Oreochromis niloticus: one gene and its partners. The protein of the gene in region 1 binds, or shares a complex with, the protein of each later gene. Links are inferred from orthologs where the notes say so. Each region holds a gene or a part of one and is shown on either strand. Other genes may lie near its edges.

Evidence for each region.
Region 2: snrpd3l (region 1) and txnl4a share a complex: the UniProt entries of both Homo sapiens proteins name them as parts of the U4/U6-U5 tri-snRNP complex. The link is inferred for Oreochromis niloticus from reciprocal best matches to the Homo sapiens genes SNRPD3 and TXNL4A.
Region 3: snrpd3l (region 1) and snw1 share a complex: the UniProt entries of both Homo sapiens proteins name them as parts of the minor spliceosome. The link is inferred for Oreochromis niloticus from reciprocal best matches to the Homo sapiens genes SNRPD3 and SNW1.
Region 4: snrpd3l (region 1) and lsm5 share a complex: the UniProt entries of both Homo sapiens proteins name them as parts of the U4/U6-U5 tri-snRNP complex. The link is inferred for Oreochromis niloticus from reciprocal best matches to the Homo sapiens genes SNRPD3 and LSM5.

Annotation. Positions count from the first base shown.
Region 1 is NC_031972.2:24,898,363-24,905,884, reverse strand, and holds snrpd3l (small nuclear ribonucleoprotein D3 polypeptide, like), read right to left. Parts: upstream 3,018-7,522; 5' UTR 2,860-3,017; intron 2,145-2,859; 5' UTR 2,130-2,144; coding exon 2,004-2,129; intron 1,309-2,003; coding exon 1,116-1,308; intron 676-1,115; coding exon 611-675; 3' UTR 463-610; downstream 1-462. Other genes in the region: adora2ab (adenosine A2a receptor b), read right to left, coding at 6,108-7,066. UniProt on the Homo sapiens protein: Plays a role in pre-mRNA splicing as a core component of the spliceosomal U1, U2, U4 and U5 small nuclear ribonucleoproteins (snRNPs), the building blocks of the spliceosome.
Region 2 is NC_031985.2:28,337,915-28,344,927, forward strand, and holds the start of txnl4a (thioredoxin-like protein 4A), read right to left. Parts: upstream 3,014-7,013; 5' UTR 2,838-3,013; intron 2,621-2,837; 5' UTR 2,594-2,620; coding exon 2,441-2,593; intron 1,136-2,440; coding exon 1,032-1,135; intron 1-1,031. UniProt on the Homo sapiens protein: Plays a role in pre-mRNA splicing as component of the U5 snRNP and U4/U6-U5 tri-snRNP complexes that are involved in spliceosome assembly, and as component of the precatalytic spliceosome (spliceosome B complex).
Region 3 is NC_031980.2:2,829,148-2,836,383, reverse strand, and holds the start of snw1 (SNW domain-containing protein 1), read right to left. Parts: upstream 3,011-7,236; 5' UTR 2,920-3,010; coding exon 2,906-2,919; intron 2,422-2,905; coding exon 2,268-2,421; intron 2,135-2,267; coding exon 1,973-2,134; intron 1,725-1,972; coding exon 1,629-1,724; intron 948-1,628; coding exon 841-947; intron 1-840. UniProt on the Homo sapiens protein: Involved in pre-mRNA splicing as component of the spliceosome. As a component of the minor spliceosome, involved in the splicing of U12-type introns in pre-mRNAs.
Region 4 is NC_031974.2:8,915,199-8,922,555, forward strand, and holds lsm5 (U6 snRNA-associated Sm-like protein LSm5), read right to left. Parts: upstream 3,006-7,357; 5' UTR 2,869-3,005; intron 2,758-2,868; 5' UTR 2,659-2,757; coding exon 2,622-2,658; intron 2,583-2,621; exon of another isoform or gene 2,464-2,582; intron 1,914-2,463; coding exon 1,818-1,913; intron 967-1,817; coding exon 939-966; intron 854-938; coding exon 781-853; intron 689-780; coding exon 656-688; 3' UTR 440-655; downstream 1-439. Other genes in the region: psme2 (proteasome activator complex subunit 2), read left to right, coding at 116-196; late secretory pathway protein AVL9 homolog, read left to right, coding at 4,123-4,206. UniProt on the Homo sapiens protein: Plays a role in pre-mRNA splicing as component of the U4/U6-U5 tri-snRNP complex that is involved in spliceosome assembly, and as component of the precatalytic spliceosome (spliceosome B complex).

The DNA of each region.
Region 1 (7,522 bases):
CATTCATATGTAGGCTTAGGCTACATGCACATTTTATACAAGGTCTGCAGCCAACACAAGAGAGGTAGCATTTAAGAATCAATGCAGTACTTACTACTGATGCCCATTACGGAAAAAAGACTGGATGGTGCTGAAATCCTTTAAATGCTGCCATCTGCACAGGGCCAAGGACTCCTCTGGAATAGTAAAATTAATTTCCAAAGAATTGATTGGTTAGTATGTGGTGATTTTAGGCCCGATTTTATCTGGTCCACAGCAGAAGGCAACATGGCAATATACTCAGGTAACCTTTTATAGTACAGAAAACCCAGGGTTTAACACTGAAATTACTTGGATAAAGCTAAACACCGCATTCCTAGTACATTCCTTATTAAATATTGGATGTTTTGAAATAAGACTGTTGGCACAAGTGAATCTCTTGTAAGTGGGAGAAGAAAAACAAAACAAAAACATCAGGACACATCAAATTGAAAAACTTTTATTTTAATAAAAAAAAAGAAATTAAAGCAACTGACTGCAAAGTACAAGATTTCAAATGATATCCAACATATCAAATTCAAGGGGGAAACAAAAACTATACAATGCAAAAATGTTAATATAGCTGGAGCAATTATCGCCTCTTCTGGAAGATGTTTCCCCTTCCCATTCCACCACGCCCTCGTCCTCTTGCAGCCACTGGAGAGCACAAAAAACAAAGATGGCATACTATCAGTTTTTAATGTAGAGTACCTCACTGAACCAGAAAAACTGTTCAGTAACCTTAATAATACATTCAGTACTTTGAGAAGTACAGTGAAGTCTAATTTTGTATCCTTAACACCCGCTTGGCAAAATATCAGCTCTATCTTAAAGGGGATGTGAAGACAAATTGAACAACAATGAAACATTTAAGTCAGTGTTTTTGACAGATCCCCTGCACCTATGACAAGACTGTACTTATTACACAAGGAACAGAGCAACACTGACAGAAAGCACTTTTCTCATGGTAGGATTTAGTTATGCTGCACAAACACAAAAAGGCAATCAATGCATGCAGTGAGTTTAAATCACCATCAGTTGCTCCCACTACTGAACATACTGACAGGTGTATCAATCCACTGCGAATTTTCACCCACCTTGTGCTTTAAGAATAGCTGCCTTGCCCCTTCCTGCACCAGATCCCTGGTTCTTGTTCTTCATACTCTTCAGCATAGGAGCATTTTTTAACATATCGGGTAAAATCAGAAAGCGGATTTTGCTGCCACGGATGTAAACTTGCTCCAGCTGTGCCACGCGGCCATCCCGATAAGTCACCGTGATATTAGACATCTGTAAGAAACAGAAAGATCATTCTTTCAACAAATGTAATCAAACTGCTCTTTAGTGTTTTATTCAAGTCAACAGTAGTTATCTAAACTTTACAAAGCCATAAAAGGAACAGATTTTTACCATCTGATCTGGGACCAATTTTTAATTAACTGGCTCTTACTAATGCAGCTACCAGATCTAGGTCTCCAGTACTTGATTAGCACAATTCACTCTTATTTTGACACCATCAGGTGGAAAGCTTGGAAACCTTTAAACAACTACGGGGGAAAAAAATAAATATAAACAAAAAACTAGAAATAAATGTTATAATTAAAATAAAAACACCACAAATTGAACCTGAACATTCAGATGTCCTTTTACATTTACCTAAAGGGAAAACAGAGAGACGCAGAGAACAAAGACACTATTATTTGTAATGCAATTCCTTTTAGCCTCATTAAGCTTTTCTATCGGTGTTGCCTTACAAGACCTTAAGCCATTTAGGGGCATTTACCTGAAAATAAAGTAAACAAAACTTGTTCAAATGATCAAGCAGCCTATTAAAGACTAAACTGTTGATTACTCTAATTAAGGGAGGAAAAAAAAAAAAAAAAAAATATCATAAAAACAATACAGTACCAACAGTTTGGTTGATGGGACCCCCGTAAGGAGGAGCACCATCCACATTCACTTTCCACTCTTTATCATGTACTGACCTGGCAGTTCATGTTGTCCTCTGCTTCGATCAGCTTGCCTCTGTAAACCTCTCCAGTGTTGGTCTCACAGGTCACAATGTGGCCTTCTGCCTCATGCAGGACCTTGATTGGAACGCCGATGGACATTTTTCAAGAATGTTTCTGGAAAACAAAATTTAGCAGAAGAAATGTTACACTGTGCACATTCACAGGCTGTAAGCTCCTGGAAACGCATTTTTTTTTTTTTTTTTCATCAAACATCACACTTAACTGTAACCAAACTGTATGGCTAACTGGCTTGTTAATTTTGCGATGCGTTTAGTTACAGAAACACCAGAGAGGCAATCAGGAACCATTTCACTTGTCCACACATCATTATCCTCGCCAATTTATTTTTCACTCGAGTACTGCCTGTGTAACGATAATCAGCTCTCTTATACTGTTTAAAGAGTTGCTGGGAGTTAATATATAACAATCAGTGACCCTCGTTAAGATGGGATGAGCAAGCTACAGTTAACTTCTGATCAATAAAGCGAATCTCTCAGTCAAATCATTGAATATCGAAGCTGCGAGAGGAATTAGCCTTCATTAGCGAGCTAGGCTAATGGACAATAATATATCCTGGTTGCATACAATAATGTAACCCAATTAATGCCATGTGTAACAAATTAAACTTAAAATGACACAAATACGATTTCAACATTAACACTTGCCTCTTTATTGCAGTAATAAGTTATTAGTTCGGCAAATAGACGGAGCCATATTGGCTCCTGAACGAACGCGCTTGATTCACACGCACAAGAAACAAACAACGCTGCTAATGAGCATGGAAAAAATTTACAGTCTCAGTTGAATTACGAGTATTTTTGTTTCTTACCTGGAGTCTATCGTAAAAGCTAGTTTCTTTGTTATTGCTTCTTCTTTTGACGTTGCAACGTGCGCCAGACGCGGTTCCCTACCTTTTGAGCCCTTTTTCCGCCTTCCCACAATGCACCGGCGGTTCAATCGAATGCTTCCTGTGATGCTCTGCAGTGCATTGTGGGATCTGTATTTTTATGGCTTTACGGGTTCACAAGGAATTTGGATACACCGATTGGCGAAAAAAAATGATACATCAAGTGATCATCAGTAGATCTTTGATAGATGCCATTTATTGTATTTTTTTATTATTTCATAATATGTCATTGTTTGTCATATAAGTTGCAGGAACTATTCTCTTTTTATTTGATGGGTTATTTTTTTTCCAATGTGTTGACTGATTGTCTCTTGATGGTTGGATGTTTTGTATTGTTTTATCTTTAGACCCAAGGGACAACTAGTGTGAATCGGAATAAAGAATAAAGAATGAGCAGATATTCTAGCCTGTCTCTCATCAGCTATCTGTGAATCTAGTCATACTGTTATTATTACAAGTAACAAAGGCTATCGTATGTGGGAAATTCCGTCCCGAAAGTACACTTTTACAGTTACCATTCACAGAACAGAACAGCATCAAAGTAGCTCCCTGCAGGCCGTGGTGCACAACTGAGCAGCTGGATAGATTCAGCAGAGTCTCCAGCTTGAGAAATAGTTTGCTCTCAGATTCTCTGGTAACTTTTTTTAAGTGATACAAGAATCACCAAAACACAAGTTTCAACATTAACAGTAAGGATGGTGACCCATTTAGCCAGGCTGCAAAGAAAAAGTCACATCAGAAGAACTAAGATTTGAAAAAAAAACCCCAACAACAACAAAAAGAATGTACTAACAAATTTAAGTTTGAGGGGTTTAAAAAGAAGAACATCAGAGGTGTAGAACAAAGGATGCAGTACTTGCAATGGTTACACGGTGCATTGGTGGAGGTGGGTAATTTATGAGGCTGACTGAAATCATCAGCCAGAGAGGGAATGCACAGAGTATGACTCTTTAAATAAACACTGTGGTCTCTGCTGCAATAAATCTTTTGTTACCGAGTTTCTGCTAATTTGCATTTCTTTCTAAAAGATAGCTTAATCCTTTTGCATGCCGGTGTCACACATGTGTAATTTATGGCAGCATGACACACTATAGAGGGACACACTGGATTGTTTTCCTCCAGGTCATCATACCACAATGGCCCCTTATCTTTGTTATTTTTTATGACTCAGCTATGTAATATCCATAACCAAATCATTTTGATAACCCTTATCTCATGCTTATCAAAATATCATAACATGCAACAAAAAAACCATTGAAATGAAATGGTTTCACCCATTTTAATTCCCCTCTTGCATGATTACAATGCATACGTTTAAGTTTATGAATAAACACAGTGCAAGTTAGATACGTACCCGTATTCCTGGAGACCTCTCTCTGGGATTGCTTTAAGGCACATAAAAACTGGTTAATGTAGGTCTTTGCCACAGTGGAAGAGCTTTTTAATGAGGGAAGGGAAAGCATTATGGGATAATAAAAGACACCATCAAATGAACCATCATTTGATTTCCATTGCATTAGGCTCATTGACTGGCGTCAGTGCCAGGCTGCTCTGTAAACATTTCTTACAGAGTGGTCTGTGGTCATGTGTATGTACTTTACCTAGGTATGTGTGTCCTTTTCATAGTGTGATGCAAGCAAGCCTTACTCTGAAAGCATCTACAATACAGGCATATGGGGTCATATCTGTACAGGCAAACAAGCTCTTTGTTTTGGATGGTTCGTAAACAACAGTGAACATGTGTTGCCTGGCACTGATCAAATCGCTGATCACAACAGCAGCAAAACAAACAGAGTTTTAGTTGTAAGTCTTGTGATGTCATCACACTTCTCACTTGTAGAGCTACAACTGAGGAAGTGGAGACTGTCAGAAAACAACTACAGCTCCTTACACAACAGAATCTGCTACATCCCACATCAGATTTGCACACTGTTAGACATCTCCACATAGGATACCACATATTTTAAATACAAAAAGGTTTTTCTACAGAAAAAATCCTAGATGTGCCACGGGCAGGAACCTCTATCCAACCTCAGCCATTGTAGCCAACCTCTAATAAAGCTCTGGTCTTCCTCAGAGGGATTGCACCTAGCTACTGGTACAGGTATGTGGATGATCCTCAGACTTCAGACTAGCCACACCCTCAGACAAAAACTGGTTCATTCTAAGAACAAAACTCCCAAACATAAGGCCAGGTTTATAGGAGGAGTAAAGGAGGCCTTCTATTGCCATCTCGTAGCAGGTTTGTTAGAGAAACTCATGAGAATTTCTTCTAACCATGATATTATAGTGCACTTCAGACCCAGCAACACCCTTAGAGAAAAACTGGTTGATCTCAAGGACCAAACTCCCAAAAACAAACTGAGCAACATAGCGTATGCTGCGCAGTGCATCAAGGAGAAACCAAGCAGCCACTTGTGAATGACCATCATTGAACAGAGGTGGTGCCTTACGACACTAGCTATCAGCCACCTACAATGCAGTCTTGAGATCCCTTCCCAGGTGCTTTAACCCCTACTCATACCTTCCCTGAGATGATCTCAATAGGTCACATAATAGGGTGGGGCACAGTCTCTGAGTGGTTTCCCCCATAACCCCTGACGATGACCCACATCTTTTTCACACTTTGGCTCATGTGATGACTCGCATGATCAATATTGGGTCAACAACCACCTCCAAGTGGACAACCCACACTAGGGGCTAGTATGGTCTACCACACATCCTGCCATGTGACCTATTGAGGTCACTTCAGCCAAGGTGTTTTTAGAACAGGAGAAGCCTGTTGGATGAGAGGTGAAACATCTTCACAACTTAAAGAAGTCTAGTTTTCTTCTCTTTTCAAGCTCTTCAGAGTATCATAACCTGGATGAGTGACAAAGTTCAGTTCAGTGCTGCAGCACAAAAACACCACAAAACTGTGACATATTTAAAGATGTTTAATTTTGATGGCATGCAAACAACACAGATAGCAAAAACCTGCACATTACAAAAAGTATATTATCTTTAAACGTTAAAGTGCACATAAAACAAAAAGAAACTCCAAACTAAAAAAAAAAAAATTTACATAAAAAAACAGATTTGCTGTCGAGGCTGATTTGCTGAAATTTCACGTTTGCAGAACGTTCTGTGTGTTCTGAGAGCAATATATTTGAAATAACTAAATGTCTTTGTCATGATATTTCTGTGATTTTTGAAGAAAGGGAACAGTCATTCTGTTTTAAGGGGAGTGCCTGTACATTTACAAAAGTAATGCAGCTTCCTCTGTCTTTCAACTCCAAGATATCTGTTGCTCCTCCCAGATATGTGGCGGACGCTGCTGCTTCCTGTGCAGAAGATGCCAAGATACCTGGCTGATGCTGTACTTCTGATGGGGTGCCAGTTGCTTTTTGGTGTCCGTTGGGTGTATTACTGTTAGGTACAGAATCTAAACTCTCATGAGAGGCATTTGATGTAGTTTTCTCAGCACTGGACTCGAGAACATAACTATTTACCATTGTGCCACATGATAAATCCTCTTTACTCGTACGGGCAGATGTCTGCATGATACTAGTGCTCCTTACACCTCTGCCATCAGCACTTTCAACCCCGAACACATGCCCATCCCTCTTTCCCAGGATGTGCTGATAGAGAATCTTGCGAAAGGTATATCTGAACTCTCGAAGGCGGTAGGCGTAGATAAGGGGATTCACCACAGAGTTGGCATGGGAGAGAATGATTGCAATGTTCATCACCCAGATGTGTGGGCGCTCACAGCCCTGGCAAATATGGTTGATGCAATTGATAATATGCACAGGAAGCCAGCACAGAGCAAACAAACCAACGATAATAGCCAGCGATTTTGCAGCGTGTACTTCCTTCTGCAGAATCGAACGAGATGAGCCAGAAGATGGAGTTTTCTGTCCGGGAGCAGGTACGTGTGCAACTTTGAGGCTCATCAGTCGAAGCTGTCGGCGGGCTGCCATGAAGATATGGATATAGATGACCAACATTATCACCAAGGGCACCAACACGCAGCCAAAGAAATTGAAATAGACCATATAGTCAAGGGGAACCACTCCCTCAAACAAGCAATGAGTCATTCCTTCAGGGCAGCCTTGGCTTTTGGTGGCAGTGGTATTGGAGTTCCAACCTGTGTAAAGAAAACAGTGATTTATTGCCAGTTTCATCCAAAAGCAAAATTATAGGGTTTCAGTTCAGTTTTCCTAAACAATCTCCTCAGCAGTTAGGACCACTTAAACATGCTTAAATATGTAACTTAAACATGAAAACATAAATAAATAAATGTATGCATGTCTCTCTTGCCACTGCCCGTGCAAATAAGAACACGAGACCTTTCTAGAAATACATCGTTGTTGCATTTATCCATTTATACTATACAATGCAATAGAATTGTTGTAATAAGCAGTAAGAAGATATACAGACGGAAGCGGGGCATCCTCCCTTACACAAGAATAATGTTTGCTTGTTTGTATCAAAACGCCTCCTCTGGATGATTTTGACTACGTAAAGGAAGGTTGTTTCATGTTTCACACAGCATCAATGCCTTTCATTGATGCTGTGTGAAACATGGAACAACATGAAACAA
Region 2 (7,013 bases), on another chromosome or scaffold:
GAAATGAAGTTTGATGTTGAGTTCCTTTAAATCACATTTAAATACCAAAAACTGGGTTTCCATCTGTGTTCTAATGTGGAAAACAGATTAAAACTAAAAACTGAAGGGTTTTTTTTTTTTTCTTTAAATTTCAGTGACATAATGTGAATTATTTCAAGTATTCTTGTTTTAACTTTTATAATTATGGTCTTCAGTCCAAAACAAATAAGTAACTGTCCATCTGTCTAGTTTGATACAGCCAATCATAATCATGAGGAAGACTGCTGATAGATGATGCTCCTGATGATGATCAGAGCATAAACTGATGAACCTTCCTGCTCTATAGGAATATAACCAGAGTACAACCAGCTGGCAGCCGGATGAGTCGACTTGCCTTCAGCTTTTAACAAAGACTCATTCAAACTGATGGCAACATGCTGGCAATCTGTCTGCATTTACAAATTAGACAGCACGTATTTACAAACCTTCGGCAATCTCTCAGAGTGTGACTGCTTATTCAAGTCGGACAGCAACTGTTTGCATAAAGGTTGCCTCCCATCAGGTACCTTGTGTAATCGCCTTACAATCAAAAAGTGATTGTTTGCTCTGAATTAGGGGGCAGCTGCGTTAAGATAAGCGTGTCCAGTGCTGGGAAAGTTTTCGGTTAAGTTTTCTCAAGATGGTCATGCATGAGTTGAGCTCTCTTGTTCAAAGTATTCCCAGAGTATGTTAACTTCTTTATTAAAATATCAGTATCTGGTGTTTTCCCCCACGCACCATCATACCTCTCTAGTACAGTCTTCTGGTCTGCTTATTTAATGTGTTGTGAGTTTGATGTGAAGCAGAGTCCAGAAGAGCACAGCTGAACACTTTTAGTGTTAAAAGAACTAGATTATCCTTACATAAATGAAGTGTACAATGACTGCAAGATTTAGCAGTTTTGTTAATATGATTAGTTTTAATAACTAATAACCTGAGTGCATTCCAGCAATGCCAGTCTACTAAATAACAACAACAGTGACAGAATGCAGGGCTGACACTGACAGCCTCACCTGAAGAAGAACATGACAGTGCAGGGGTCGTACAACTCGTACATCTTGTTGAAATCAGGTACTTCTGTGATGTCCACCAGGTAAATGACTGCAAAATTCTTAACCTGTCAAGGCAAAGTAAAAAACAAAAGTAAATACAGACAGAAAAAAAAAAAGAAGAAGAAAAGTGCTGCTCTTAGCAAAATGTTTTCCTGGACATCAAGTCAATTTTATCTTTTAAAAATTACACAAGGCCAGGTTTCTTTTTAACTTTAACAGCTCTGGGTAGCAAGGTTACATCTGGAAAATCATCAACCAATTGCTACCTCAGAGCCAAATCCTCCAGCAAAAGCCTTGGTTGTAAAATCAGCAATAATCTTCCATGACCAGTCAATGTAGTACGGAGCCTCCAGGCCCCTTTAAGAGGCATTAGAAAGTCTCAAACAAAAAAAATCTGGGTTTAAATAAATAAACAAATACTAGCTCTGTTGGTGAGCAGGCCTGTGGCCAGATAGCAGCAGGCCTGGGTTCGAGTCTGACCTGTGGCCCTTCGCTGCATGTCTTCCTCTCTTTCCCCACTTTCCTGTCTATCTATGCTGTCTCTATCCATTACAGGCTAAAAGGCCAAAAAAACTAAACTAAACTAAATTGAATCAATGGAAATTGATACAGTAATATTGAATCAAACTGCACTGACACTACAGTTATCATAGTGAAAATGTAGTTAGGTGCACTTTTTTTCCCTCTTCTTGACTTGCTGTATCCATAACACTGCTCTCAAGGAGTGACCCAGAAACATGGGTGAAGTTGGCTCTCTGAACTGAGTCATTACTAAAGTCATACTGTCTTTTATGGCTACTTTTCCTCCGGGTTTTGAGTTTACCAGTGAAAAAATAAAAATTGTTGCCACACTATAAGGACTAACATATGTCAGCAAATTACTGAAGGTAGCTTGCTGAAACTCAAAGACTTGGGAAAAACCTGAACCATGAAAACAAACAAAATGACCAAAACAAAGACTACTTGGGAGAGGGAGGGGGAAAAAGTGCCAGCATTACATTTGTACAAGTTATAGGCTCTACAAACTTTCACCTCTTAAGTTGTAATTAACAGTAAGAGAAAGACTTGCGTTTAGAAAGATTATTTGCAGGAGAGAAAAATCACTACATCCCAGAATAAGACCCCACCAAGGATGCTGTGCATATATTTTCAATTTGTAAGATTTTAAGACGTATTTAAATGTTACAATAAATGGTAAAATATTCCACGTATTGCCCTTAAAGTACTAAAATGACCTCCTCTATACTGAATTTTATCAGCTTAATAATATTACATGCATCCGGTTAAACCCCCACAAACAGCGCCCTCTACAGGAGTTCAGATAAGAAACATAAGCTAGCAAACAGTCGTCGTTGATAAACTACTCAGACCTTTTCCGCGATGCTGTAAAGAACTTCGTCCATCTTCATACATGTCGGGTCCCAATCGTGTCCGAAGCGGATAACCAGGACTCGGTCCTCCTCAGACAAGATGGCTTGGTCGACCTGCCAGCCGTTGTGGAGATGTGGTAGCATGTACGACATGTTGATCCAAAGTTTTTGATTCCTAAGCTGCAAATAAATATGTTTCATTATAACAGTAGCAAATGTGTAAATTACATTATAAATTACATCCAATAAAACCTCTGTTTTTGTTTGTGTTAGTCATAATAGGCAGTAAGCCTGCTGCTAACGGGGCAGTCTGGGTTGAGGTTAGCAAGGAAAAATCTGGAAGGAGAAATAGAGAGCCCTGCATAAAAAGAAGTGAACAAACTTCGGAAACACTTACCTAAAAACGTAAATAAATCCGTGTTATTAGGCCACGAATGTAGTGTTTGTGGTAACAATGCAATTCGTAACTCCAAGAAAGAGAAACTTTGTTGAATAATACCTCTGCTACAGCTCTTGCCGCTGTGTACTTTGTCGCAAATGGTTCGTTTCTAGACACGTGACGTCATCAATCCAGCGCCAGACGTGTTTACGTCACGTCCGTGTGTACGTTTTAGTCAGATGCAACCACATTTTAGGTTTTTCCTTAGTGAATTATGCTGTAAGACGTCCTGACCCTATTCAATCTGCTTTAGGTAACCTCTGTTTTTCATTTATGAGAAAAATGACTTCCAAAATCAGATTTCAGGAAAACACGGCATCCTTTCCAGCTGCAACATGGAAGAATTTTCTTAATATTAACTGGAACAAAGGGCATTTCCGGGATTTTTTTTTAATGGGGTGGCACAGCGGGTTGGTGGGGTGTGGAAGTCATAGGAATTCAGAAAATCCGATCAGAAACAACTTGTCACTTGTTTCTACGTTTTTCTTTTCGGGTAATTTTAGTGTTTCCACACCTGCCAAATCTCGATGTAGCCCTATAGTCGTTTTTCTATTTAGGTGTGGAGGCAAAGTCAACGCTCTACAATTTAGACAACAGCAAATACAGCTACATTTTTTACTGCCTTTGTTAAGATTTTTTTTAATAATAATAATAATATAACATGAGTTTTAATTAGTTGTCAAAAAATTCAAAGAGCTACTTTTTATTTTTGTATAGAGTACATTTCAGAGCCTGTACTTTTTAAAAAAAAACAAAACTTTTGAGTAAGGACATTGAATGGGTATGTTAATATTTACTAGAGCATTTTTAAATACAACTATCTGTATTTCTACTTAAGTGATGAATGTGTGTGAAGAAGAGGAGCAAACAAATTTCAGATATGTCAGTGCCACCACACCCCACCCCTTTAGCCCCGCCCCTGTCTGGAAGAACTTTTGGTCTTTACCAGTGATTGTAGAAGACAGGTTTATACTGTGGTTACACTGAAAAACATTACACAGTTACAGGTCCCTGCACAAAAGTACTTTCAGACAAATACGGTTTAGAAGAGCTTCATTTAAGGTGATTTACCCAGTGAAACATTTCTATAAAGGTTCGAGAATGACATAGACAAAGTACTGTGAGCTAATTACTGAAACTTGGTGCCATCTATTTTGGTCTTATCTTAATATCTTGATGCATGCTCAATCATCCGGGTAAGTAAATCCCAAAGGCTGATTCTGTGTATCTGGATGTAGCGTTTTCAGTGGGAGAAACATTTCGTCACTCATCCAAGTGACCTCTTCAGTCTCAGCTGACTGCGGGATTCCACAATCTTATAAACAGTACATTTGCATAATGACTGAAACTAGCACCACTGAAGGGACAATGGGTGGAAGGTCAGTTCCTTGATCATTAATATGCAAATTCTCATGACCATTGATCAACAACTACTGATCAAAGACCACTGATCATTGGCCATGAGTAGAGAGTTGATAGAGAGCTGAGCTGAGACTGAAGAGTGATGAAATGTTTCTCCCACTGAAAACTCTACGTCCAGACGAACAGAGTCAACCTTTGGGATCTATTTTGGTCCTTTCATTTTACACATGGGCTGTGAAAAGGTGTTCATGTTTCATAGTTGATAACATTTTATTAGATTTTATTTTTTTATTATAGTAACATTACATTTGGTTACTGTTTAATGTGACTAAGGCGCAGCTGCATTTTATCTACTATATTACATCATATCAAATGCTCCTCCTTGAAAATGTATCCAAAAGTTGATTGTCACAAAACTACAAACCATTAACTCACCAAATGTCTTTGAGTGAACTTAGATCAAGCTTATATATATATATATATGTATATATATGTATATATATATATATATATATATATATATATATATATATATATATATATACATATACATATATTATATATATATACATATATATATATGTATATATATATAATATATATATTATATATATATATATATATATATGTATATATATATGTATATGTATATATATATATATATATATATATATATACATATACATATATATAGAAGGCAACATTGCAGACATAGAGGACAGTTACAAGTACCTGGGGATCCCGCAAGCGAATGGGAACCACGAAGAGGGCGCTAGGAAAGCTGCAACCACCAAGTACCTGCAGAGGGTCAGGCAAGTCCTGAGGAGTCAGCTGAACGGTAAGAACAAGATCCGGGCCATCAACACCTACGCCCTGCCCGTGATCAGGTACCCTGCTGGGGTAATAGGCTGGCCAAAGGAGGAGATAGAAGCCACTGACATAAAGACAAGAAAGCTCCTTACCATGCATGGAGGGTTTCACCCCAAGTCCAGCACCCTGAGGCTGTATGCTAAGCGGAAGGAAGGGGGCCGGGGACTGGTGAGTGTCAGCACCACAGTCCAGGATGAGACAAGAAACATCCACGAATACATCACGAAGATGGCCCCAACTGACAGCGTGCTCAGTGAATACCTCAGGCAGCAGAAACCCAAGAAAGAGGAGGAAGGCGAGGAACCATCATGGAAGGACAGGCCCCTGCACGGTATGTACCACCGGCAGATAGAGGAGGTGGCTGATATCCAGAAATCCTACCAGTGGCTGGACAAAGCTGGACTGAAAGACAGCACAGAGGCACTAATCATGGCAGCACAAGAACAAGCTCTGAGTACAAGATCCATAGAGGCTGGGGTCTATCACACCAGGCAAGACCCCAGGTGCAGGCTGTGTAAAGATGCCCCAGAGACAATCCAGCACATAACAGCAGGGTGCAAGATGCTAGCAGGCAAGGCATACATGGAGCGCCATAACCAAGTGGCCGGCATAGTGTACAGGAACATCTGTGCCGAGTATAACCTGGAAGTCCCGAGGTCAAAATGGGAGATGCCCCCAAGGGTGGTGGAGAATGACCGAGCTAAGATCCTGTGGGACTTCCAGATGCAGACGGATAAAATGGTGGTGGCTAACCAACCGGACATAGTGGTGGTAGACAAACAGAAGAAGACGGCCGTAGTGATCGATGTAGCGGTTCCGAATGACAGCAACATCAGGAAGAAGGAACACGAGAAGCTGGAGAAATACCAAGGGCTCAGAGAAGAGCTCGAGAGGATGTGGAGGGTGAAGGTAACGGTGGTCCCCGTGGTAATCGGAGCACTAGGTGCGGTGACTCCCAAGCTAGGCGAGTGGCTCCAGCAGATCCCGGGAACAACATCGGAGATCTCTGTCCAGAAGAGCGCAGTCCTGGGAACAGCTAAGATACTGCGCAGGACCCTCAAGCTCCCAGGCCTCTGGTAGAGGACCCGAGCTTGAAGGATAAACCGCCCGCAGGGGCGTGCTGGGTGTTTTTGTTTTTTTTACATATATATATATTATATATATATAATATATATATATTATATATATAATATATATATATTATATATATATAATATATATATATAATATATATATAATATATATATATAAATATATATAATATATATATATAAATATATATAATATATATATATATATATATAAATATATATAAATATATATAAATAAGCTTGATCTAAGTTCATATATATATTAATTATATATACATATATATATATATATATATAAATATATATAAATAAGCTTGATCTAAGTTCATATATATATTAATTATATATACATATATATATAGGTATACATGCATACAGTAGTATGTTGATTTTTGTTTTTTGGACTTCTGTAAGGAGACTTTCAGGATTCCTAGAAGTTTGTTTTAAAGCTGTCTAATCTTGGTGGTAGTAAACTACTATCATCAAGACGTATTGTCATATTTTAACTTGTTATAAGATAAGAGATAAGATGGCCTTTATTAGTCCCACAGGTGGGAAATTTGTTTTGTTACAGCAAAAGTGCTTGTTGTGCTTTGCCAGAGGACATTTTCCCTCATATGAAAATACCTTCTCTGGCACGCATACATTTCATTACCAAACACTCTGTAACCAATGAAAAGATTGCAAGTCCTCAGACAAACAAATAACTCCTGGCTCTTCATGCCTCTGCTCACCCACTTCTAAATCGGTATTACACATCATCCCTGCATTTTTGTAGCTGGTAGTTTTAGTACTTACTGTCAAAAGGAAT
Region 3 (7,236 bases), on another chromosome or scaffold:
TGACTGATGTGTACAAGAGCATAAAACATAATTACTGGCAAATTCTCTCTCAAGATGCTGTTCATGTGGCACAACTGCAGATACCGCTGTTTGACCGCTGTTTCAGCAGTCACACATTTTCAGACTCAAACATGAATCTAACATGCTAACACAACTCCATTAATAGCCGTACTCTGACAGACATTTCAGTTTGGGTCATAAATGATCAAAGGTTGCTCAGTCTGTGTGCACTGGGGTGCAAAAACAGAGCTCACTTCAGTTATGCTCCATTTGATCAACATCCCACCATCGTTGAGCAGCAGAATTATGTATGCTCAGCTCTAAAATTCGGGGTCCCTTTTCTAAAAAAAATTCCAAACTTTGTAATGAAGTGATATTTTTCATTTGTTGTTCTCATTTATATATGACCTTCATAAAACAACAGTGTAAGATGAACATTTCTAGATACTGCAGTTTCCACATGGCAGACATCCAGTATGAAAATACTAAGGAGTCTAATGTAAGTGTGGTTGGATCCCCCACGCACATGATTTCTATTTTAGTCAAGGAAAAGTGATGCGGACAAAGAGGTTATTTTTTTGGGGGGATGATCTGAGTTGATTCCTAGACTCCAGTACGTATGTTAGCTAGTGTAAATCATTAGCTTACTGTTAATAAGCTATACCAATATGCTGTTGTACCCACATAAAAAGAATTTAAGAGTAGCGTGAGTAGAACTGAAAGAAGTTTAAGAAGGCCTCAGGCCCACGTACTACAGAGCACTACAATAACTGGAAGTCAACTTTCCCACCCTCCTCCCTGACTGTGTGCAGTGTTGATAATCTTCTGACTAATACATACCTGATGTACTGTGCAGGAGCTTGTTTGTCTGCGGCTCTTACAGGCATGGCAGCAGCGATTTTTTGAGACACCTGCTTCTCCAGGGCTGCACGGGTCTTCTCTGTGAGCTACAAAGGACACAAAAGGATGATCATGTTTACATTCCAGATTAAAGAAATCCAATACAGGAATTGTTTGCAATTATTAGCAGTCACATGACACAAGAGAAACTGTACTCCTTAAACATTTAGTAATAAGAAAGCATCCTGACTGGAAACAACATAAACTGATGAAGGTTGAGCAATGTGCAAAATCGGGAGATTAACAATCACCAAGAACATCGCAGGCTTTGATGTACTCAAAGCCTGAACTGTCTTTATATTTTCTTTACTTGTTTATTCATTCATTTAGGCCTTTATGGTTTAGTTTGCAGGAAGGATTAAATGGACTTGAATCAGTAATTTTGTTAGACAACCTTGTATTTCATAATGACAACTAAAACAAATCTTAAAGATAAGCAGAGTCATCCTGGTGTCCAACACTTCTTACCAATTAAGTTTAAAAAGTCTAAATACAAAGTTGTCAAAACTAATTATGACAAATTGTTTCACTCGCTCAGCAACTTTACTGGGACAAAAATATACGTTGTGCATTTTTCCTTTGACATTAGCAGATTTTTAATTGATACCTCTAAAAAGCCCTTTGTGGCAGTTGTTGGTTTTGAGAACGCCTTTATATAAATATTTTACTTCTTTGGTAAATGGTTCTAAAAATGACTAGTGAGTACTCAAATCTAAACCTGCTCTTACCTCTTGTATAGCCTCCTCATCTGGCTTCTGTAGTCCTGGAGCATCTTCATTGAGAACTTCCTTTGGAAGCAGGTCTGTGTATTTACTGAAGATCACCTATAAGAATGAAAAATGAAACCAATAAAGGAATGCCACTTTTTAAAATCAAAACAGAGCCAGACATGCAAATAAACTAAAGCCTAAATGTCATTTTCTGGCAGTGTGAAAGTGATGCACATGAGAGAGGTTTTATTCAGGCTTTAAGAAGAGAATTGCTGATTTGTATATTATGATTTAAAGACAAATCCTTGGAGTGTGTTGAGAGGATCCCTGCTAACTGTCGAAGGGATAAAATGCCCATATACCTTATCCTTTCCCTGTCCTTGTCTGGCAATGGCATCATATTTGATCTTTCCTTCTGCATCCACTTGTACTGCCAGGGCATTTGATGTCTTCTTCTTTCTACCCATCTCCAGAGGAAACTGAGCCACATGGATCTCTGGGAAAGCACCTCCATCTCCGAAGTCCTGCAGAAACACATATTTTGCTGTGAAAACTCAGGGTTGATTTCATCTTCAAACCGTAGAGGTTAGACAAAAAGGGACCCAACCATAAGTGAGCAAAACAAGAAACTTATCCCATATGAGCAAGAGGTTTTACCTCGAGTGAGCGAGGTATCCAGCCCTTTCTGTGTCCATAAGGAGGGGGCTCTCTACGGGATGCAACCAGGGCGGTAGAGTAGGACTTCTGGGCCCGGAGCTTCTCCTCTGCCTCCAACTGATCTTGGGACAGCTGGGTCGGCGCCGGTAAAAAGCTGAACACACAGGAATCCACATGTAAGTCTCAAAGTGATGAACAGTAACACAAGCGCTGTATGCCCTGGCTAGCATTAGCCGCTAGTGACAACAAATAGCTTCGAGGTTAATTATGACACGCGTGTAAGTGTCAGTTAAAATAGCCAATGATCAAGGTAAGTTAAAAGAAAATGTTAGAGAAGCCAACTTTAACACGCGGCTGACTAAACTACGTCTACACAACGAACTACATCATATCGTGACCACGGCTGCGTGCTGATAAGCTAGCTATTGCTAAATGTTGAACTCGCGACATTTTTACTTGCTAGCCGTAGCCGTTTGGATCGACTAAATCAGATACAGAACCGACAGCGTACATACCACAAATACCAGTGTGATACATTAATCGTAGTCTATACACCTGAAACCAATCAGTTGAATCGATATCTTATTTAATACAGTTTCACAATTTATAAATACAAAAGGCTTTATCGTGAAGCTCACCTCGTCAGAGACATCTTCCCGTTTCTTCCTAAGCGATAGACTGCGCATGCGCGAAGACAGTACAGACATGCGCACGATAGAATAGACGACAACCACTAAACAAGAAACGTTCTGGACAAAGTATATAGGAGGAAAGCAGAAGGGACATTTGTGTGGTCTATGAAACAGTGGCTGGAGAAGGAAGAGCAGAATTCTTTATACTTTTTAAGTTAGAAAAGTATCTTGCAAAATTGAAAACAATTACTCATTTAAGAATAGAGGAAGTGGTAACTGATAACCCGAAAATGATAACTAATTTCTGTTCATCCTATTATAAAAAAAACTTTATAGGCAGTGATGGTCTGGCTTTTCTAAACTCTTTACAAAACACTCCCAAACTGGAAGGAAGGTGAGGATTTATGTGACACTCTGTTATCTGTCAAAAAGTCTGTGAATGGTACTCCTGGCCATTGATCAATGGTTTTTGATCAGTGGTTGTTGATCAATGGTCATGACAATTTGCATGTTAATGATTAAGGAACTGACCTCACAGCCCATTGTTTATTCAGTGGGCTGGTTTCAGTTATTGTTCAAATGTACTGTTTATAAGGTTGGGGAAACCTGCAGTCAGCTGAGACTGAAGAAGTCACTTGGATGAGTGATGAAACGTTTCTCCCACTGAAAACACTATGTCCAGATGAACAGATTCAACCTTTTGAAATCTACAGGAAGGCTGAAAAATAACAAATCACCAGGGACAGATGGCTTGTCATTTGAGTTCTATAAGTTATTTCATCCTCAGTATGAATGTATATCAGTTGATGCATTACCCTGGAGTATGACTCAAGGATTAATTACTCTAATTCCGAAACAATAACTGATGAAGAGCAACTTGGCTTTTTACCTAACAGACATATTTCCAGTAATATCAGACTTATCTTGGATATGTTGAATTACTCATACATAATTCCAGATAATGGCTATTTTCTGTTTTTAGATTGTTTTAACGCCTTTGACACGGTTGAACATCAGTTTTTACATCATTCACTTAAAAGCCTTGCCTTTTTTCGTAGTTATATAACAATGCCAACTGCTCTATTAAGCTTAAACATGGATCATCAGCCAGATTTAATGTTCAGCGAGGCATCAGACAAGGCTGTCCACTTTCACCATATCTTTTTCTTCTTGTTGCTCAGCTGCTCTGCTCACATATAAAATCAAGCAACTTACAGGGCTCTTCTATCACTAACAGGACATTTCTCATTAGTCAACTTGCTGATGACACAACATTGTTTTTAAAAGATAGCACGGGGATTTCTTCTGCAATTATTCTGTTAGAATTATTCTCTAAAGCTTCTGGTCTTTTGCCTTAATCTTAAAAAGTGTGAATTATTTTAGGAGTGCTTAAGAAGTGTTTTATTTGGAATAAGAGTTATATTCTCTGTAAAAACAAATCAATTTTTTCCAGAACTGGTTTGATAACAACATTCTCACGGCAAGCCAACTATTTAGTCAAGAAGTGCATCTGTTTACTTGTGCTGAATTTTTACACAACTATAAAATTCCTCTTTCTACAAAAGAATTCTCTGTTGTTTTTGACGCTTTCCCCTCAGGACTGTTTTCACTTCTTTGAGGTGTAACAGGAAATAGAGCCCAGCTTCTGCCTCCTCAGGTCTCTGGAACTGAAATTATTCAGACTATTTTTCTACCCTTTTAACCACCAAAAGAAGAACCAGACAACTCACAATCTGTTTCTTCAAGATGTGCTGTTCACGGTTTTATTTCGGGTGGTTATTTCTTGATTTTATGTTCTTAAAAATTGATAGCACATTTTCTAGATCATGCAGTAACAAACTGAATAGAAAAAAGTCCTATTACAGTCACAGAAAATGCATTTTAAATGCAAATTTTAACAAGTTGACGTAACAAGACAGTTTGCTTCTCTTTATTTCTTGTCTTTTGAAATGATCTTTTCCATACGAAAGCTTGTTTCTACTAGTGAAAAATTAAAATAAAATCAGCCCGTAAGTCAAAATTTTGACTTAATCAGTAATAACTCAAAATTTCAGATAGTAAGTTGAAAGTTGCACTAGGTAATGAATTTTGAGATAGTAACCCCAAATTTCGACTCAGCTCTGCGTGGCGTTTTGTTTCAGCTTTGATATTTATTTATCTCTGAGACTGAAATAATCAACAAGCTATTAACTGCACATTTTGTCTTATTCCAAATATTAAAAATAAGAGTTAATTTATAGAAACTAGGTTCACTTAAAGCAAAGCACTTTCATTCCTTAGAGATACGGTCCATACTCTCATCACGTAGTTGCTGCAGATTGCACAACTAAGATCTGGAGACTGTGAAGGATAAATTCTGACCCTGCCAATGCTGAAACAGAAATAATGGGGCTGTGCTTACACAGTGCTTTTCTACTCTGCATGAGTCCTATATTCTTACTACAAGCCTCATTTACCCATCCTTATCTTGATCAACAAAGCATTGAAACACAGAGTAGGAGACTGGGAATCAAACCAAACACCTTCCGATTAGTAGATGACTCGCTGTGCCTCCTGAACCACAGACCAGGTAACGTGTTGAGAATCTTTTATTGCCCGATTTTGGTTAGTGTGTGATGTGTATCCCCAGCTTTCTGTTCCCTAGATGACAGAAGTAGCAACCAGTAGTTCTTCTGCTTTAGCGCATCTACTTCAAAGTTTGATATGTTCTACATTCAAAGATGTTCCTCTGCATAGCCTCATTGTACTGAGTAGTTATATGTTACCTTCCTATCAGCAGCCTGGCCATTCTCCTCTGACCAAGGCATTTTCACCCAGAGAACTGCTGTTCACTGGATATTTTCTCTTTTTAAGCCATTCTCTGAGAGTTTTCAGTTTTCAGTTTTATTTGTCATATGCAAGTTAGCACAGGGTCAACATCGCAATGAAATGTGTTTGACGAGCAGCGGTCTCTCAGCAGCATGATACAGTAGGAAAAAATATAATAAAATATAATATAATAAAATAAAATAACAAATAGAAAAATAGTAAAGAACAAAATATTAGAGAGACATGGTAAAAGAGAAAAGATGACTAAATATATATGTATCTATAAATATAAATATATGTACACTAGTGATTAAATAAGAAAATCTTGAAAAGAAATATGACGGGAGGGCAGATGGGATATTGCACAGGAATGAGCAGCAGAAAATTACAGTATTGCACTTTTTAAATATAAATATCAATAACAATAAAGTGAAGTGACCAGTGCAGATTAAACAGAGTACTTGTGAAGCTGCAGGGTAGCTTCTGAGTCCTGTGTTGTGTGTGTTTAAGTGTTGTGGTTGAGGTGTCGTATGGCTTGGTGGTAAAAACTGTTTTTAAGTCTTGTAGTCCGAGCAGACAGACTCCTGTAACGTCTGCCAGATGGTAACAAGGAGAACAGCTGATGTGCTGGGTGGCTGTGGTCCTTGATGATGCTGTGTGCTTTACGGAGGCATCGCTGGTGATAAATGTCCTGAATGGCAGGAAGCCTCGTGCCAGTGATGTGCTCTGCTGCCTTCACCACCCTCTGTAGTGATTTACGGCTGCTGGCAGAGCAGCTTCCGTACCAAACTGTGATGCAGCTCGTCAGCAAGCTCTCGATTGCACACCTGTAGAAATTTGAGATGATGCTGGCGTTCATGCCAAACCTCCTCAGCCTCCTCAGGAAGTAAAGCCGCTGGCGAGCTTTCCTGATAGCAGTGTCTGTGTGAAGGGTCCAGGAGAAGTCCTCAGTGATGTTGACTCCAAGGAACTTGAAGCTGCTGACCCTTTCGACCTTGACACTGTTGATGTGGATGGGCTGGTGTTCCCTGATGATGGATGGATGTGTTGGAAAATTCCAGCAGATCAGCAGTTTCTGAAAGACTCAGACCAACCTGTTAGGTACCAACAACCATGCCATGTTCAAAGTCACTTAAATCACCTTTGTTCCCCATTCTGATGCTCAGTGTGAAATTGATCTTGGCCATGTCTATTTATGGCTAAAGAAACTGAGTTCCTGTGTTTGTAATATATTATCTATTCTGAGAAACGTGTTTTTTCACTAAAGTGAAACTAAAGATTTTCAAACAACAAAAATGAAGCTGACACTAGTAAACACATTTTGGAAACTGCATGAAATTACCTGACGTGAAAACAAAAACCTGACACAAAAAATAGGAACTATTTACAGAAAATATGGCTCAAAAATTTCTGCACACCTGAATGGGTGACAGAGTAAAAGTTCCACAACAATTTAACTGTAACTCCTCCACGCTAGATTTACAAAGTCCTAATGCAGTAAGTGAGACAGTGTGCAGGAGTTATATTTA
Region 4 (7,357 bases), on another chromosome or scaffold:
TTTGAGTTTTTCTATAAGATTGAAAAACTGATTTTCAAATAGTTTAATCACTAACAATGTATTTTTAGCTGCTGTAAGTCGATTATTTACCTGCATTTCTGCTTGTTTTCCTCAGGCCGAGCTTTATGACATCATCAGCAAAAACCTGGAGAAGGTGACCAACCCAAAAGGAGAGGAGAAGCCCTCGATGTACTGAGGCTCCCGGGGAACGGGAAAAGCCACTGGGATGAATTTAAACAACCTTCAGCTGCATTGATCACCTGCTAAACTCAATATCAATCAAGTATCCGGCTCTTTGTTTGATAAACATTTAAAATAAATACATAAACAACTGGATGGGGGGTTTTTAGTTCTGCTGTTTCATGGTAACACTTTGGTTTTATACCAAGATTTGCACTAAATTTTAAGTTGTGTGGTAAAGAATGAATAAAGAAAAGTGTTTTTCAGACTGTGTGACATCCTCAGATTTATTTTTAACAAAGAAAAACTTTTCGGCATGTGCACCTCTCATCAGTGAGGAATCTTATTACAAAAATATCTTTCTCATTCAGGATCAGGAGGGAAAAACCCAAAGAAAAAACAAGACATCAACAATAATAATTACATAATAAAGTCAGGAACAGCAACACAGGAAGATTAACCGGCCTCCAGCCATTTATACTTCTGGTCCTTCTCCACCGGGGATGAGCTGCAGAAGAGAAAATATGCCGCCATAAATCATCCTGTCAAGGTTTAAAACACGGGGGATTATAGGACATGATCAGATGTTTGTTTGGTTACCATGGTGATGTTATTGCCATTGAGGAGGATCTGGTCCAGCTTGGTTATCCTCCTCCCCTCTGGTGTGATTTCACTGCAACACATTCATTTATAAATATAGTCAGCAGTGAACCCGAGAAAAGGTGTAGTTAGAGTAAAAATGTAACAGGAGTACTTACAATTCTGTCACATCCTCCAGGACCATGTCTGACACACACAGTTAAAGACAAACTGTGCAACAATAAACAGTAAAGAGACATCAAAGTGCAGCTAAAAGCTAGAAGGTTTACACAAACGAGCAGGAGGATGTGGAGACGTGGACGTGAGCAGTACCAGCGCCCATCTACAGAAGCCTTTCTACTTCCTATTAATCCCTAATAATTAATTAACTAATTCATTAATTAACTGGCGGCCACCAGCGGTACTCCTCATCCTAGTAGACACAACTGTGGTATCAATTCAAAATCCTATGTCCCCTCATTCTCAAGTTATCGCATTCACAAGAATTTCACAAAACTTACTCTGACCTTGAAGTCAAGGTCACCGAGATTCAAACTCCAAGACTTTTAGAAGGTGCACCTATGTTATCAATTTGAAAATCCTAGCTGACTTCCCTCTTAAGTTATCAAATTCACAACCTGTTGTTACTTTAATTTGCACCAATTTGGCAGAAATAGATTTATGATGGTTTATTACTCCTACCTGGACAGACTGACATGCCTGACGTTGAACTCTGTGTTGTACTGTGATGACTGACTGTTTCCTTAAATTATTTGATCAGTCTATTTGTCCCCCATTGTACAGATCTACACATTTTTTTTTATGCCAATGGTATTCTGCAAGTGTCCTCTCTCACATTTCTAAATAAAACAGAAACAAAAAGCAGCACGATAGTTCACTGCTTCTCATTGCATCAGCTCCACCTCACAGCATGGATGATTTCAAACAGTTTATGGTGTGTACAGAACAATACAGTAACATCGGTAACACTTTGTAAATTGTTGGTGTTTAGGTGTGCACTAACTCGCTCATTTGGACACGTTTTAATTAAAAGATACTGACGAAGTCATCGAAGCCCAGCAAGGTGCCGACAATTTCTTTGTCAGTTTTCATGACGATGTGAATTCGGGAGCCGATACATTTGTCCACAAGCTCTGCAAAAGGAAAAATACAGAGAAATTACACATCCTGTAATTCAGGTGGGTGTTTCTACTTCTTACACTTCACTTAACCGCTTTATTAACTGGTGTCTATCTTTCTTAAGGACTCAACAGTTAACCCTTTGAAATACCATAAATATTTAATAATAGCCTCCTAGTCACATGGATATAACATTAAACCGATCCCCTTAAAATAAAATAAAAAATAGAAGTTTGACTGGATTACAAATATGCAAACACATATTTTAAAAAGCATCACCTATAACTAAATAGAAATAAAAGGACGACAATGTATTTTGAACATGCCAGGGCAAATCTGTGAATTACGTTTTCATTAAGTGCAATGTAACACATTGACACAGATAAAAGCAGCTTTTTTTCGTATTATTTCTTTAAATCACCATTACAAAAATGATAGTTTTTTTTTTTATTTTAACTTTTCAGCTAGAAACTCCCCTCTGACACTTTAATAAACAAACTAAATCAAATAAGAAGCATTTTGTTTGTGCTTGCAGAGAGTAAAGCCGCAACGTTAGCTCCCTACCGGCGTGATGCTAATGCTAACTAGCAAACATCTGCCTAGAAAATGATTTTCAGTGAGCCGCGGCTTAAACTGCGGCCGCCGCACGATGACTCGGAACAGCCTCATTTAAACCCACAGACGTCAGGAACAAAACACAGCATCATAGAGATTTTACAAACCGAGCGGGAGCAGCTGCGACGGGTTTGTAGCCGACATGTTCAATCAAGAGACTTCCCTCTACAAAGCCAGAAGTAATCGACAGAAGAACCGAAGTGGCAGCCAGACAAGATCAATCAATCTAGAACAATTTCGTCTCTGGAGAAACAAAAAACATCTTCAGTCTACTTTTTAAAGAAATTCAAACATTCATGGTTGGAACCAAATATAATACACTTCTTTTTAAATTCAAACAAAACACACACACACCTGAGGACGATATTAAATTATTCTGTATGTCTCCACACGATGGCGCAGGTTGTGTCGAGGAACACATGACATCATTTTTGTGTTTAAAAAAGAGAACAGAACAGAGATCAAGATAATTCACCCCTGTAAAATCTGACCGTGGATAGTTATGCTTTATTTCACCGTGACAGGTGGAATTTAAGGTGACATGCACGTTTTCTATTGAGCTCGAAACACAAGAGACTAAGCTAATTATCTAGTCTTTAACGGCAGATTATCCGGACTTTATTCTAGGGCAAGATGTCTGATAACATCCAAGGAAATTCCAGATTGAAATGTAGGAAAATATGAAGGAAATGTTAGTCAACTCGTGACTTTTTCCAAAAGAACTTCAGCCTGATTGCATTTAAAGCCTTTACATTCATTTTGTCCTGCTTAAGACAAAAAATACACTCAATATAATTGTTAACTGTTATCTTATTATATTATGTTACATTGGTCAACAGTGAATTAAAACTTTAATCGGTCATTTAAATGTTTTTATTACGTTATATTAATAACATTATACAATTGGAAATCTCTAGTAATTTATACACGCCTTCCTGTTGTATATGTTTATAACTCAACTTTTGTTACATAACGAAAAACACTGAAAGTAGGTAGGGTAGGTAGGGTAGCTAAATGCCAATTAGTTAGCCTAAACGGGATTAGCTAAAAGGTTATTAGATAAATGCTGATTAGCCAGTTAAAAGCTAATTGTATGCTAACAGCTAATTAGTCTGCTAAAATATGACTAGCTAAATTATTGTTTGATAGTTAGCTAAAAAGTAATTGAATAAGATAGGCAACTAAACAGTTAGTCAGCTAAAAGCTAGTAAGCACAGCTTAGCTAAATTTTATTTTAAGTTGAATTTAATATCAATGCTGAAATTTTGAAAACTGTAATAAAATGTTGGCTTTTGTCTGCACACTTAAGAAAGTATTGTCTAAGTAAATTTGCTCCATTGACTCTACTTAACTGAAGACTGTCCTTGGGGGGGCAATTAGCTGTAAGCTTAAATTTCGGTAAGCGAAAACGGAAGTGCGCTGCGGGGGATGCTCTTGCCCAATTGGCCAGTGAGGACTAAGCGGAAGAGAAAATCATCTCTGCGGTGCTGCCGTCTGTCTGTGTCACATATTCAGGGAGATACAGACAGAAAAGTCGGCCTCGGTTATCTGTGTTTACATCCAATTCCGGAGTTAAAACAACGATAGACTGCGGGTACAGCAGCGGGGATGGAGCCTCAGGGCAGAGACGAAGGGAAGGGGCCGGTGCTGCACATCGTGGTGGTTGGATTTCACCACAAAAAAGGCTGCCAGGTACGTGAACCTCTGCTCCCAGCTAACATCGGCTAACTGCTAACCAAGTCCTCACATTGAGTTGACATAAAGGTGCATTTTCACTAAACTTCTGTACGGTACGAGTGTCACCTTACATCTCTAATATGCGCTTGTTTTTTTAAACAGCGCATGCACAGTCCTGCAGTAATGCGGACATTTATAAACATAAAAACAGTAAAAACTACAGACTTCTCACTGCCTGGCTTCCCTGTCAGTGAAGAGGGGTTAAGAACAGCAGTTTGCTGTGGGCTCCCAGGGTTATATAACACGAGGTCTGCTGCCAGCAGTTCAGTGTTTTCATCTCAGGCTGCAGCATACTCATCATCACTTCTCCTGGACCCTGCTTTTGTCTGGGTATGCACAAAAATGGAACAACAAGCCGATTAATCGATCAGTTCAGGTTTTCTTTGAGCTGTTTAGAAACATTTTCTTGGTATCATGTCATTGTTTACTTAATATTTTAGGGCCTTTTTGGTAAAAAGAAGACACTTAACTGTCACTATTATAGGAGTTGTTGTTGTTTAAAAGCGAAAAATATGTTTTGTGCCCAGCTGACAAGACAGACAGAAGGCATTACTGACTCATTATTCTAGGACTGCACTAAAAAGTTTTAAAAACTCCTGCTCGATCTTGCACTGGCCCTTTACACGACTTGTCAGTTTGAAACAAAGTCTCTCTTTAAAAAGAGCCCCTTCTGTTTAAGCTTGCTATCTCTTGATTGGCTGACTTCCAGAAGCTTGCTGAGGGGCAGGAGCACTCAGTGTTTACCTTTTAATTTTTTTTTAAATCTTTTTAAGGATTTTTACTGCATATGAAACTTTTTGACACTCCAACGAGGAGGTTTACAAGATTTCACATTTGTAGCAGTTGTTTAATTGTGAAAATAATTTGTCTGACAAATCATCACCTAAGACCAAATTGAACTCTGTGTGGCCGTTAATGTAAAGTGAGCTTAACACCCCCGCTTTACTGATTCTAATTTTTCCTCACATTGTTGTTTTGTTCTTCTTCTGCTGCTGATTCAAATTTCATTAAATGTGCAGTTACACACTGAACTTCCTCCTCCTCCTCAGTGGTGTTGTTGTTGTCTCTGCTCTCCATCTGTTTTTCTTTCTGCGGTTTTGCAAACAGCTGCTGCTCAAGCCCAAAGATAAAACAACAGCTTTCCTGATGTAAAGATGAGACCAAAGCCCTGGCAAAGCACCCAGTTTGCAGTCTTTGTTGCCTTTAATGGGCCTGCACTCAGGGATGGAGGTGATGGAGGTTATCTGATAAGGGTCAGCGATCTCCTGCTGGGCGGCACAAGATTGGGTTCCTGGCTCTTTAATCCGTTTCTCTGCCTCTCTTTCACAACCGCCCTCCTCCTCTTATTCACCTGCTGTCCATCTGCTTGCCTGGCAGGATTTCGAGGACTTCTACATGTATTTTTTATTGGAAACCTTAATCAGTAATGCAGCAGGAACATCCATCACACAGAAATATGTTTACTTATATTTTCCCACTTAATTTTAAGCATGTAAATACAAATAAAAATGCACAAATGAGCCTGATTAAAAACATTGAAAGCATGTTTTTTTAATTCCTTACATCTGCAAAGTTTATTTTTAACAGTACATTAAGAAACATTGGCACATACATTACAAATCTGCACCCTAACATGTTTTGCAGTTGGCTCAGTGTGTTTGTTTGGAGGATTACATAGTAACTCATGGACAGATTTGTATGAAAATGCCACAAAATGTGGAGCTTGGTCCACTGCGAGATGGGACAAAATTGGACATTTCATGCACATCCATAGACACTTTAAAGATGTGGCTAATGTAAGGTAGAGCTGCCACAAACGATTATTTTGATAGTTGACTAGTCACCGATTATTCAGTGTGTAACTGCATGATTAGTCGACTAATCAGATCATGCATCCATTGGACGTAAAACGTGCATCTTATTGCACCAGCATGCATCTGCTCTTATATAACTATCATTAGCTTACAGCTTGAAGTGTTTAAGGTATGTGCTAACTAAAAACAAAGACAAGATGATAGTTTAATTAAACTTTTAATGAAATTTGCAGATTGTCTCAGTGAAGTTTAATAATGAACTCAGCCATCTGTTCTTTGCTTTCTAAAATATAAAAGGACATTGGAGTAAATTCTCGACCATCTCACACTTCTGTTTAATCAGTTTTCTGTGTGACGTTTATTCAGCTGTGTGAAAACTATAACTTTAATCTAACTTTAATCTTTAAGCAGTTTTCTGTTCCACTTGTGCGGGTGTTGCTTTCATGAACCTCTGTCACTGTGCCATGTAGGTCCACTGTTTTGGACCCACCCCAAGTACTTAAGCATACTGGCTTAAGTGTTTGGGGGTCCAGGCTGTAACTCCAAAGGTTTTCCTGAACAAGTTGAAAGCTGGATTTTTAGAAATATTTCCTACATTTGAAATTTACTTTGTCTGTATTGACCAAAAGAATAGTTTAATGTCAGCTCCTCGCTCTCTGCCTAAAAATATAAATGAAAAATAAACTCAATTCAGGATGAATAAGCTCAGTAATGGATGCATTTCTGTTCAGAGCATCACTTCTCTGGGGTGAGGAGTGGCACTCTGCCCTGAGGGAGGATTTCCCCATCAAACATTGAATCATTGCTGGTGGGTGTGTCCGAGGTGTTCAGGACCAGCAGGTTTCCAGTTAGTCTTGTTGGAGGGTTTTTGAAGTTTAATTGTTAGTTATGATATTTCTTAGTAGTTTTGCTGTCCTTCTGTAGTGTATATTTAGTATATCTCATGAAGTCATTCATGCATTAATCGATTGGTAACATTGCATTCTTTGTAGTTAAATTACTTTACTTCTCTCTCACTACTTCATGAAACAGGAAATGTGATGTGTATATGAAACTTTCTAAGGTACACTTATAGTCACTGTTGCTGAGCGTTAGTAATTATTTCAAGTGCTTTCACATATGGGGACCTCCTGCTAATTAGGAACTGACCCAGTAGAGAAACGATCAATGGCAGTGGAGAAAGGAGCAAAGCTGATTAAACTAGATGTGAAACATGCAGTTCTCTTTGTCTTGCCATTATAATGAAGTTTGATTACCTGATAGTAATGCTGTTTCTGTGTGTGGCAGTGCGA